Nothobranchius furzeri: one gene and its partner. The protein of the gene in region 1 purifies or fractionates together with the protein of each later gene. This does not show direct contact. Links are inferred from orthologs where the notes say so. Each region holds a gene or a part of one and is shown in the gene's direction. Other genes may lie near its edges.

Region 1 (5,103 bases):
CGGATGGATGGATGGATGGATGGATGGATGGATGGATGGATGGACGGATGGATGGATGGATGGATGGATGGATGTTAAAAGGGCCTGCCATAAGCTATGGGGTTACAGGTTGCTCATCTTAGGTGTGTTCTTGCTGTGTCGTATCTCTAAGTCCATGCTGTAGTTCTTTTTTAAAATACAGAGCAGTTTTGTTGACCTGTTTTCCCGCTACGTTTCATTTGTGGCTGCAAACTTCCTCAGGCTGACGCTGATGGTGACGTCACTTCCTTCTCCGTTTATCCGTGGGCAGCAGAGGACGGGAGTAAGGGACCCTAAACATTAACACATATAGGAAACCAACACACACAGACCAATATCTATTATGGACATCAGAACACCCCACCATATACAAAATGTCAGTAATCAGAACATTATATCACCGAGCAAACATAATAACAGAAGAAAGAGACCGTAAACAAGAGGACAAACACATACAACATGCTTTAAAGACCTGCGGATACCCGACATGGGTAATAAACAAAGGAAAACAACAAACAACAACAGAAAGAAAAAAACAACCAAAGCAAAGAACCAGCAACCCAGAAAGCCAAGAACCAAAACCAGTGATAACCCTACCATACATTAAAGGCATAACAGAAAAAATAAGAGCAACAATGAAAAAACACAACATAAACACACCAACAAAACCATACACAACAGTTAGAAACAGACTAGTACACCCAAAAGACAAAATACTAGCTGGACTTAAATGTGGAGTCATTTACAAAATCCCATGCAAACTCTGCAATAAAACATACATAGGAGAAACCGGACGCCAACTCAACACACGAACAATAGAACATAGAAAGGAGTGCGAGAAAGAGGCAAGTCGAAAACACACAAGAGCAGCAAAAGAAGAAGCAGAAATCACAATAAAGAAGTCAGCCGTAACAGATCACTGCACAAGAGAAAACCATATAATGGACTGGGACAACACAAGGATCATAAACACCGAACAACAAAAATACAAAAGATGAATAAAAGAAGCTACCGAGATAAGGTGACGTGGATGTGGGACCATGAACAGGGACGATGGAGTTTACACGTTGGACCGCGCATGGGACTGCATCGTCGGAGAGGGGAGAGCGGGCAGCAGAGGGCGACAACATCCTCTGCTGCTCACGGATAAACAGAGAAGGAAGTGACGCCACCATCAGCGTCAGCCTGAGGAAGTTTGCAGCTGCAAACGAAATGTAGCGGGAAAACAGGTAAACAAAACTGTTTAAAAAAGAACTACAGCATGGAATTACAGGTTGCTGCTTTATTCATTTGCTGCTAGGCTATTCACACATATTTAAACAACTTAGCCCTGTTACCTTTTCCTTTAAATAAATGCAGCAAAAGCTTAGATTTTTTTCAGCATTTTCTCAGTCTGCCAACTTGGAGAAGTTTTACCAAACTGTGAAACTCCAGTAGGGAGACGAGCTGCAGCTCCTTAACAGGGACTTTTTATTGGGAAATATACTAAATTTAACATCTTATTGGCACAAATCTAATCCCATATACTCAACACCTACCTATGCACTGATGAGTGATCCAGCTCCACTCCAGGTGGGGCGCTGTAGCACCACTATTTACCACTGACTCGTCCTCGGACAAACCGGAAGTAGAAGAAGCTCTTGTTCTGGCGGCAGCGTGGAATACGTTAGCGTTTACCTCTCTGTGAAACTGTTTAGTTTGCTGTAGAAAGGTTACAAAAGCCCAAGTTCGTGTCCGACATGGTGAAGCTGTCTGCGGAGCTGATTGAGCAGGCTGCTCAGTACACCAACCCTGTGAGAGACAGAGAGCTGGATTTACGAGGTAAACTCGGGCCTTTACCCACGGCTAACTGACTAGGTTAGTGTTGTGTGTGTGTGTGTGTGTGTTTGTGTGCTAACCAGTGTTAGCTCTGCTTTATCTTTAGGTTATAAGATCCCAGTGGTGGAAAACCTCGGAGCTACTCTGGACCAGTTTGACACTGTAGATTTCTCTGATAATGAAGTGAGAAAACTGGACGGCTTCCCTTTGCTAAAGAGGCTGAAGACGCTGCTGATGAACAACAACAGGGTCTGGTAAGTCCCACTGCTCTGTGTGTCACCATGGTCCAGGTCTGCCCCTGAGCTGCACAGGTAGGGTCTGGATGATGGAGACGAGTAGGATCTGGGAACACTTCATGTTGATCCATATCAGTAATTATCGGAAATGTAGAAAATGTATTTTAAGTAACGTACTGGCCATCTTGTGCTACTCCTTAGTTAACTACCTTCAGTAAAGAACACACACTGTTTATTTAAACAGATGTTTTACTAGGATGCAGGTTTTCCAAGATTTGTTTAACCGGGTGTTGATGCCCCTCAACACAATCATTTGCCCCTGCTTCATAAATAACACTTTATATATAAGTCTGAGGCACAACTAGAGTCCCACACCCGTTACATTTGTGATCTAGTAAAGAGACAGTGGGATGACAGCTGAAATGTCCGTCAGACCTCTGGCATCCATTACTCAGAAGAGCATTCTGGAGGCCACGTTTTTAAAAACCACTTTAGCTTCCTTATATTGAACTAAATAATTTGACATTTATGTTGCTAGACTAATTAGGAGTCAGACGCAAGCAGCAGCGTCACGGCCGCCTGACCTTTTGCTGGTCACTCTTCAATGTGCTGTAGATTAAAACATTGGCGTAATCTGCGTTTAGTTGAGACGACGTCGGTGTGATGCAGCTGCTGTCAGGAAGACGTGTAGAACGGTACGACTCTGCATCAGTGGGGTCTGTAGTCACCCGCTCCAACATTTGCATACTTTTTGCTGCTAAAGTAATCTTTTGGAATAAATATTTAAAATGAAATATCAGTTTGAGTTTCTGCAAAATGAAAATAATTTTTTACCACGAGGTTTAGACGGTCCCTCTGCTCAGTGAAAAGCCAGCCCTGACAAAATGATTAAGTTATCAGGGATCGTCATATGAGAGTAATTCACAGAAAACCAAACATGAAAGTATGTGAAAATACTCCAGAATAGTGCAGTCATCCTTAACAAGTTATCGATGTGGTCTGATTAAATGTGTAGAAAGAGCTGCGGCGTCATCTCGGCTGGTTGCTTGAAGACTTTAATAAACCACTGCTAAAGGTAAAAACGCTGCTCTGACTCTTCAGTGCAGCAGAAGTGTTGGTTTTATGAAATTACCTCATCACCTGTTTCTGCTCCAGCGTCCTTAAATCTTCTGGTGCCCCGATCCATTTACTGGGTTTGTTTTAAACACAAGGCTAGTAGCATACAGGAGCCGATTCTGACCAGAAAAAAGTATTAGGGAATAGAAGAGACTTTATTGTTATTGTACAGCGACATTGGAGTGCCACTCCCTTTGGTGCAATTTGTAAAATAATACGGAATAAAATAAACGTAAAATCAACAGTAATATTTACAAATGTATAGAAAGAGTAGCAGCATCAGTCAGGTTCTGTGCAGGTTAAGCAGAATTTTAGCATATTGAGTAAACACTAATAGTAAGAGTAAACGTGTGGCTCGGGTTTACAGGCTCATCTGGTTTTGTGGTCGTTTGCTACTCTGGTAGCTCTGGGAAAGAAGCTATCCCTGGTTTTATGTGACCTGCACCATCAGCCTGACGGTAACGGGTCAAACAGATGGTTACTGGGGTGAGAGTAGTCCTCGATGTTCCTGCTCTACTGGGGTAATGAGAGTTGGCAATGTGCTTCAGGCTGGGCAGAGAGCATCCAGTGGTCTTCTGGGCTGTGCTGATGACCCTCTGCAGTACTTTCCTGTCTGCAGCTGAGCACCCTGCATACCATGTTGTGATGCCGTACGCTTGGATGCCCTTTGTGGTGGCTCTGTAGAATGTGACCAGCAGCCTCTCCTCCAGGTCGTTCCTTCTGAGCACTCTCATGAAGTTTTTACCACCGCTGTGGTGTTTGCAGTCCAGGAGAGATCATCAGAGATCTGCACGCCCAGAAAGCTCACGGAGTGCACCCTCTCCACACAGTCCCCGTGAATGTAAAGTAAGGCCGGGTCGGCCCTGCCCTTCCTGAAGTCCAAGATAAGTTCTTCAGTTTTTGTGGTGTTCAGTTGGAGGTTGTTTCCTGAACACCACACAGTCAGTCTGTTGACCTCATCTCTGTAGTCCCACTCATCCCCCCTTGAGATGAGTCCAACCACAGTGGTGTCATCCACAAACTTAATGATGGTGTTTGAGAGATGGGTCGGGGAGCAGTCGGATGTGTAAACGGGAGGGGACTCCGAACACATCCTTGTGGAGCGCCGGTGCTGGAGAGGTGGGGGCCGAGTCTGACAGACTTTGGTCTGTTTGTCAGGAAGTCCTTAATCCAGATGGGGGTGGAGAGTCCCAGGCGAGACAGTTTCTGGACCCGGATCTGTGGGATGGTGTAACTGAGCGCATTCTGACATGGCTTCCTTGGTGTTCCAGATGACTCAGCTCAGCGATGCACCGATATAAAAGTTTTGGGCTGATACCGATGTCTGATATTAAGATCACTATTATGGCCTATAATCTATATTTGCAGGTACCGATATACTGTCATTAATGCTTCTAAAATCAGCAGATTTTGTATAGAATGAAAATGATTCAAACTGAATTTACGTTATTATTTACACACACCACTCATTTACGGTTATGTGATGATTTCATTCACTGTTCACATGACTAAACAAACACACATCACCCCCTCATCCTCTGAAACAGGCAAACAAATGGAGACGAGATGGAAAAAAATATCGGTTGTTAATATCGGCCCGTTTTTTTTTTTATTGAACCGATGCCGATATTAGGGATGCACCGATGGATCGGCATTTGATCGTAATCGGCCGATAGCGCCCCTATCGGTTTTGATCGGAATTTTCAAAATAGATCAAAGCAAACCGATCAGGTAGGGTTGTCACGGTAACCAGTGTAGCGCTAAACCCCGGTAAAAAAAAAAAGTTGACAATAATAACCGTCTTGTTTTTATAAAACTATATTATCTTGGTGGGTTTACCGTGGCTGCGGTGTAGGCGCGGTGACCCTTACCAGCCACCGTATCATCTGCAGAAGTTGCCGGCGGCACATACACG
Region 2 (5,159 bases), on another chromosome or scaffold:
GCTGTAACACTGATGCATCAGTCTCAGACATCATGGAGCTCAGGTGTTATTAGAACTTCCTGTGCGTCTTTACCACCCACCTTCAGCTCTTCTGTGTTTGGGTCTTACCCATGTTAGTACATTTAAGTCCTCCATCAGATTTGTGCCTCTTCTAGTGTCATTTTAAAGGATATTTGTTTGTTTATTTATTTCACCATTACTAGATTACCAGCAACAGAAATGCTACTAATAACACACAATTATGTGAAGCAGGAAAAATTAGAATGCTGTGCAAAATTACTTTTATTTCAGGAATTTCACTATACTGAGAGACCATTTAAAGGCTCAGGAACCTTTACAGTTGTTTATATTTGCAATTATAATTTTGAGCTGATTGGGGTCTTGTTAAATATCACACAGTGACATTTTAATAGTCTTGATTAATGTAATGTTCCTGTTTGTAGTTCCTCCTGTTAAGTGCCCATCTGTTTCAATTATTCAGTTTGATAAAAAAAAAACATTTTGACATACATTTTATTATGTTCCAGTCATTAGTCATTTATATTTCAGTATTGTAGTAATTTATAGTAAATTAAGTAAGTTTAATCAAGAGGGGAACCCATTTTTCTTGCATTCTTTAGTGAAAAAAAAGGTAACAAAATGTTTATTTTTCTTGGTGATTAGTTACTTTTAGTTACTTTTTGGACAACGACGTGATCAGTAACTATACCTAATTACTTTTTAAAAGTAACTTTCCCAACACTGACCATTAGCATTAGCAACCCCACCACACAGCAGAAGCTCCTCCAGGCTTGTGCTATCTGTAGAGACAAAACATCCACGTTGGATAACAACAACGCGACTCTACCATAACGTGGTAGTTTGTTTGTCCCAGTGTCCCTGTGATATCTTGTGGCCTGTCCAGGGTGTACTTTGCTAATGACTGCTGGGGAAAGACTGCTCCCTTTGACCCTAGTGAGGAAAAGCAGTCAAGATCATAGGTGAGTAATTTTTAACAAATATTTCAAAACATTTCTGAACCCAAATCTAACCATATTTTCATATTTTTCTGTCCCAATCATGGTTGCCATTAGCAACAGCTGGTAGATGGAAAATTAGGGTCATAACTCTACAGGCAGCAAACATGCTCAATGCAGAACATCATCAAACACATTATCCACAGAAAAAATTTCATTATACCAGCCACAGGAGAGCCCAGTGCTAAGCAATTCTGAGCAATTTAGTCTCGATGTGGCAATTTGAAAAATTGTACTGTGATTATTTGTTTTAAGATAAATGTTTTAAAACAACATGAATACATCAGTTTTGATGAAAAGTTTATCTCACTGCACAGGTACTCTAATGATTGCTGCAGACACTTGCATATTTATATCCTTAGAAAAAGCCAATAAATACTGCAGTCTATTTATTTGGAAGAAGACCAAGTAGTACTATTTGTTTTTAGAAGCATAAGAAAAACAATGGACGTATTCCCTTGAATGGTGTGGAATGATGATAGAGGCTACACACGAATTTAAAACATAAAAAAGAAAAGATTGCAACATAGACACAACCTATTTTCAATTAACCTACAAATAAACCAAAGAAAATAATAACTGTATTTAATGTACCCAGATTTTCTAAAAAAAAAAAAAAAAAAAAACTTTCTTTGAGTGAGTAAGAAGTACACTTTGACCAATGGAGCGGAATCAGAACAGTACGACATTTGTTCCTACCCGGATCATTTCATAGGGTAACGCGCCGGCAGTGGTCGTTTGTCAGTGCCTGAACGACTCAGAATTAATTTACCTGTTTTGTTTTAGTTCTTGATCTCTGTACACATTACGTAAGTGTTTTGTTCTTTTAAAACCAATTGATGTGAAGCTGAAGCTATTATTTGCCCTCCAGGGGAGCCTAAATTTAGACTTTTATTACACGAAGACCGACTAGCTAAGCTAAGCTACTGTTAGCATAAAGAGTGGAAGATCAAACGTTGTCCAACAAAGAAAATGTGTAAATAAAGGGCAACGACCGAATATTTGGAATTGTATTTTGTTTGTTAATATGTCAATGTTGATCATTTGGATAAAACTCACATAAATAACGGCGATTAAGGATTCGAATGCAGTGGAAAAATACACTGCATGAACGAATTAGATAACTTTGCTAACATCGTTAGCCTTTCCAATATATTTGAAATGTTCGTTTGTATTTTGCTTTAAATAATAGTCTTTTTGGGATGTTTAATGTTGGAGTGGTAGTTTTTAAGCTTTAATTCTGTCTTTTTCCCTAGTTGTCACCATACATCCAGATTAAAGTAGTCACCCACACGTTGCGTTATCAGTACTTAGTCCTGGGACCTTCTAAGGTTTTGTTGTTGCGTTTGTGTTGTCTTTTCTTTTGCTAAATCAAAAGCGCATGCGATCTGCTGATTGTGTCAATAAATAGTATCAATACTGTTAAGAAGTAGCTTTTGCTGCTACGATTAGCTGCAAATACTCGTTTATTTTGTTTGTCTGACCCAAATTAAAAAGAGACTGAGCTGGAGGTTTTTTTTCTTCTTTCCACCATTGTTGGAAATCAATGTTAAAAAGTCTGAAACTTTTTAGCTGTTCTAAAAGTTAAAACATGTAGAAAAGCAGTAGTGATGCACCGATATGACATTTTTGGGCTGATACCGATATCTGATATTGAGCTCACTGTTATGGCTGATAACTGATATTTGCCGGTACAGATATGCTGACATTAAAGCTGAATTTACATTATGTACACGCAACACACACATTTATGGGTCTGAGATTATTTCATTCACTGTTCACATGACTAAACAATTACACATCACCCCCCTCACCCTCTGAAACAGGCGAACAAATGGAGACGAGATGGAAAAAATATCGGCCTGGTTTTATTTATCGAGCCGATATGTTAAAAATTGACCAACATCGGCCGATACAGATATTGATGCTGATATATTGTTCATCCCTAGAAAGCAGCATTTTAAAAAGCTTTACCTGCTCAGTATGTGCCTTATACAACATCATACAGGCTAATGTGTGTATGGAGTTCTGACACAATGTAGTAAAAACAAGTGATGCTTTTTGCATCCCAGCATGAATTACGTACAGCATGCACACATTATCTTTTTAAGAATAACAGTACATCTTCATCTGGACACTGATGAAACCCCAAGTTTATTTTAAAACTTAAAGGACTTCTTTCCCTGGTGAATCAAACAAGATTGACCTTTACAAACAACATTGTACAAGAACAACGTCTAATGAATCAGCCTAATATTCTAGAAAATGTAGAATTTTTTTATATAAATGATTTTAAAGAACATCACGGGTGATGTTTTTCTATCCTTTCCCCATCCAGAGTCTTTGAGTGAAAATGACGGACCGATACAACATCCACAGTCAGCTGGAACATCTTCAATCAAAGTACATCGGCACAGGACATGCTGATACCAGCAAGTGGGAATGGCTGGTCAACCAACATCGTGACTCATATTGCTCCTACATGGGACACTTTGACCTGCTAAACTACTTCTCCGTGGCTGAGAATGAGAGCAAGGCCCGCGTTCGCTTCAATTTGATGGAGAAGATGCTTCAGCCATGTGGGCCCCCAGCAGACAAGCCCGATGATGCTTAAATAACTCCAGAGTGAGCTTTTGTCCCTGGAAATTCTTTTTTCTACCATTAAATCCTGTTTGACCCTATCAAAAATAATTGGATCATCCATTTATAGTAGTTTTGTTTGCATATGGACAGCACTGAGGCAAAACAAATTATTTCAAGATCTCAATGTTTACAAGAACGGTAAATGTGTCTAAGTGATGCACAATTATCTGTGAAGAGATTGAAGAGATTGATGATTACAATGTGCCCATGATAAGTTTTGCTTATTCATTAAAATTTGACCTTTTTCTACAATCTTATTTATTTTACAGCCAGCTATTCATCTATTCTTTCACAACACTTTTATTTGTCATCATTTGGATTGAATGTGATTTGGGTTTATTTGAATAAACATTCATAGGTGGCAGGTAGCCTTTTGAAGCCTTTTACTCTGAAATGCTGGTGTTTTTCAGCTACACCCAATACTTTTCTGCAATATTAAGAAAAAAAAGAGAATTTAATGCAGATAATCTTTATTTTATTATAGTTGTAGCAAAATGCTTTTACTCAACTACAACAATAACTGATGCACTGTGGTTCAAATGCTGAAACTGCTTATTTGCAGTAGGAAATTTCACGGAAGAAAATTATCTGAAAAATCAGTGGGTGAAATTTAGAAAAGTCCACCAAAAGGTGGTTGAAGAAAAAAAATAACGGTGTTAAAAACAACAGAACACAGGTTTATGATGTTATTAAAAATTGCCAAAAGACTGCTTTCAAAACCAGCCGACCTGCTTTTTCAAGACAAAACTGGGAACTGCTGACACACAAAAAGCTAGAATTTTTAAATTAAATTGCCTCAGAAACACAAATGTGACAGCTGTGTGCATGAAAAACCGCTAAATCCTGCTTTAAACAATTCACCTTCTTTGGTAACTTAAACTCCCTCTTATTAAACACAACTTTAATCAATAGTTTATGAAATCCATTGATAAGAAAATCAATTTACAAGCACAACGTATGGAGGTCTGTTACTGCCATTGAGAAAAAAGTTCAGAAATTAAGTCATAAGTATGTTTTTATTACCAAAAATATGAATCAGGATAAAGAAAAGAAAAGCAGTATAAATTCCTTAAATAAGATCAAAGTCACAGGTTTGTGATTCTACATAATAGTATGTAAAGACAATTACAACATATTGTGATGTCATAGTTGACTTTAAAATTTACATCGAGTGAGTCATGAAATCATAAATTAGACTTGAAAAGTAAAATGGAAGCAAACTAATTATTATGAAAAGCAAACTCATGAAATTAAAAGTCCTGACTTGAAAAAAGTGAAATATGACTTTGTAAATATACAACTCACTTTAAATTCATAATAATGAGTTAGAAAGTCACAATCTTGATGCTATCAGAGTACTTTTCCAGTGGCTGAACTGGGCTCCAATGTCAAAGATTGATGTAATCATAAAAATCCAGGAATACGACTGACATTCAGGCGCTTAATAACGAGCTGTCAGCACCGTTACAAACTGAGCTGCATCAGGAAATGCTGAGATTT

The links.
Region 2: the proteins of snrpa1 (region 1) and sf3b5 purify together in Homo sapiens (affinity purification with mass spectrometry; 5 studies listed by BioGRID and IntAct, counting the BioPlex papers as one, with this or other methods). This does not show direct contact. The link is inferred for Nothobranchius furzeri from reciprocal best matches to the Homo sapiens genes SNRPA1 and SF3B5.

The regions. Positions count from the first base shown.
Region 1 is NC_091749.1:6,236,606-6,241,708, reverse strand, and holds the start of snrpa1 (U2 small nuclear ribonucleoprotein A'), read left to right. Parts: upstream 1-1,632; 5' UTR 1,633-1,757; coding exon 1,758-1,839; intron 1,840-1,942; coding exon 1,943-2,090; intron 2,091-5,103. UniProt on the Homo sapiens protein: Involved in pre-mRNA splicing as component of the spliceosome. Associated with sn-RNP U2, where it contributes to the binding of stem loop IV of U2 snRNA.
Region 2 is NC_091752.1:24,289,960-24,295,118, forward strand, and holds sf3b5 (splicing factor 3B subunit 5), read left to right. Parts: upstream 1-1,712; 5' UTR 1,713-1,825; intron 1,826-3,354; 5' UTR 3,355-3,369; coding exon 3,370-3,630; 3' UTR 3,631-3,916; downstream 3,917-5,159. UniProt on the Homo sapiens protein: Component of the 17S U2 SnRNP complex of the spliceosome, a large ribonucleoprotein complex that removes introns from transcribed pre-mRNAs.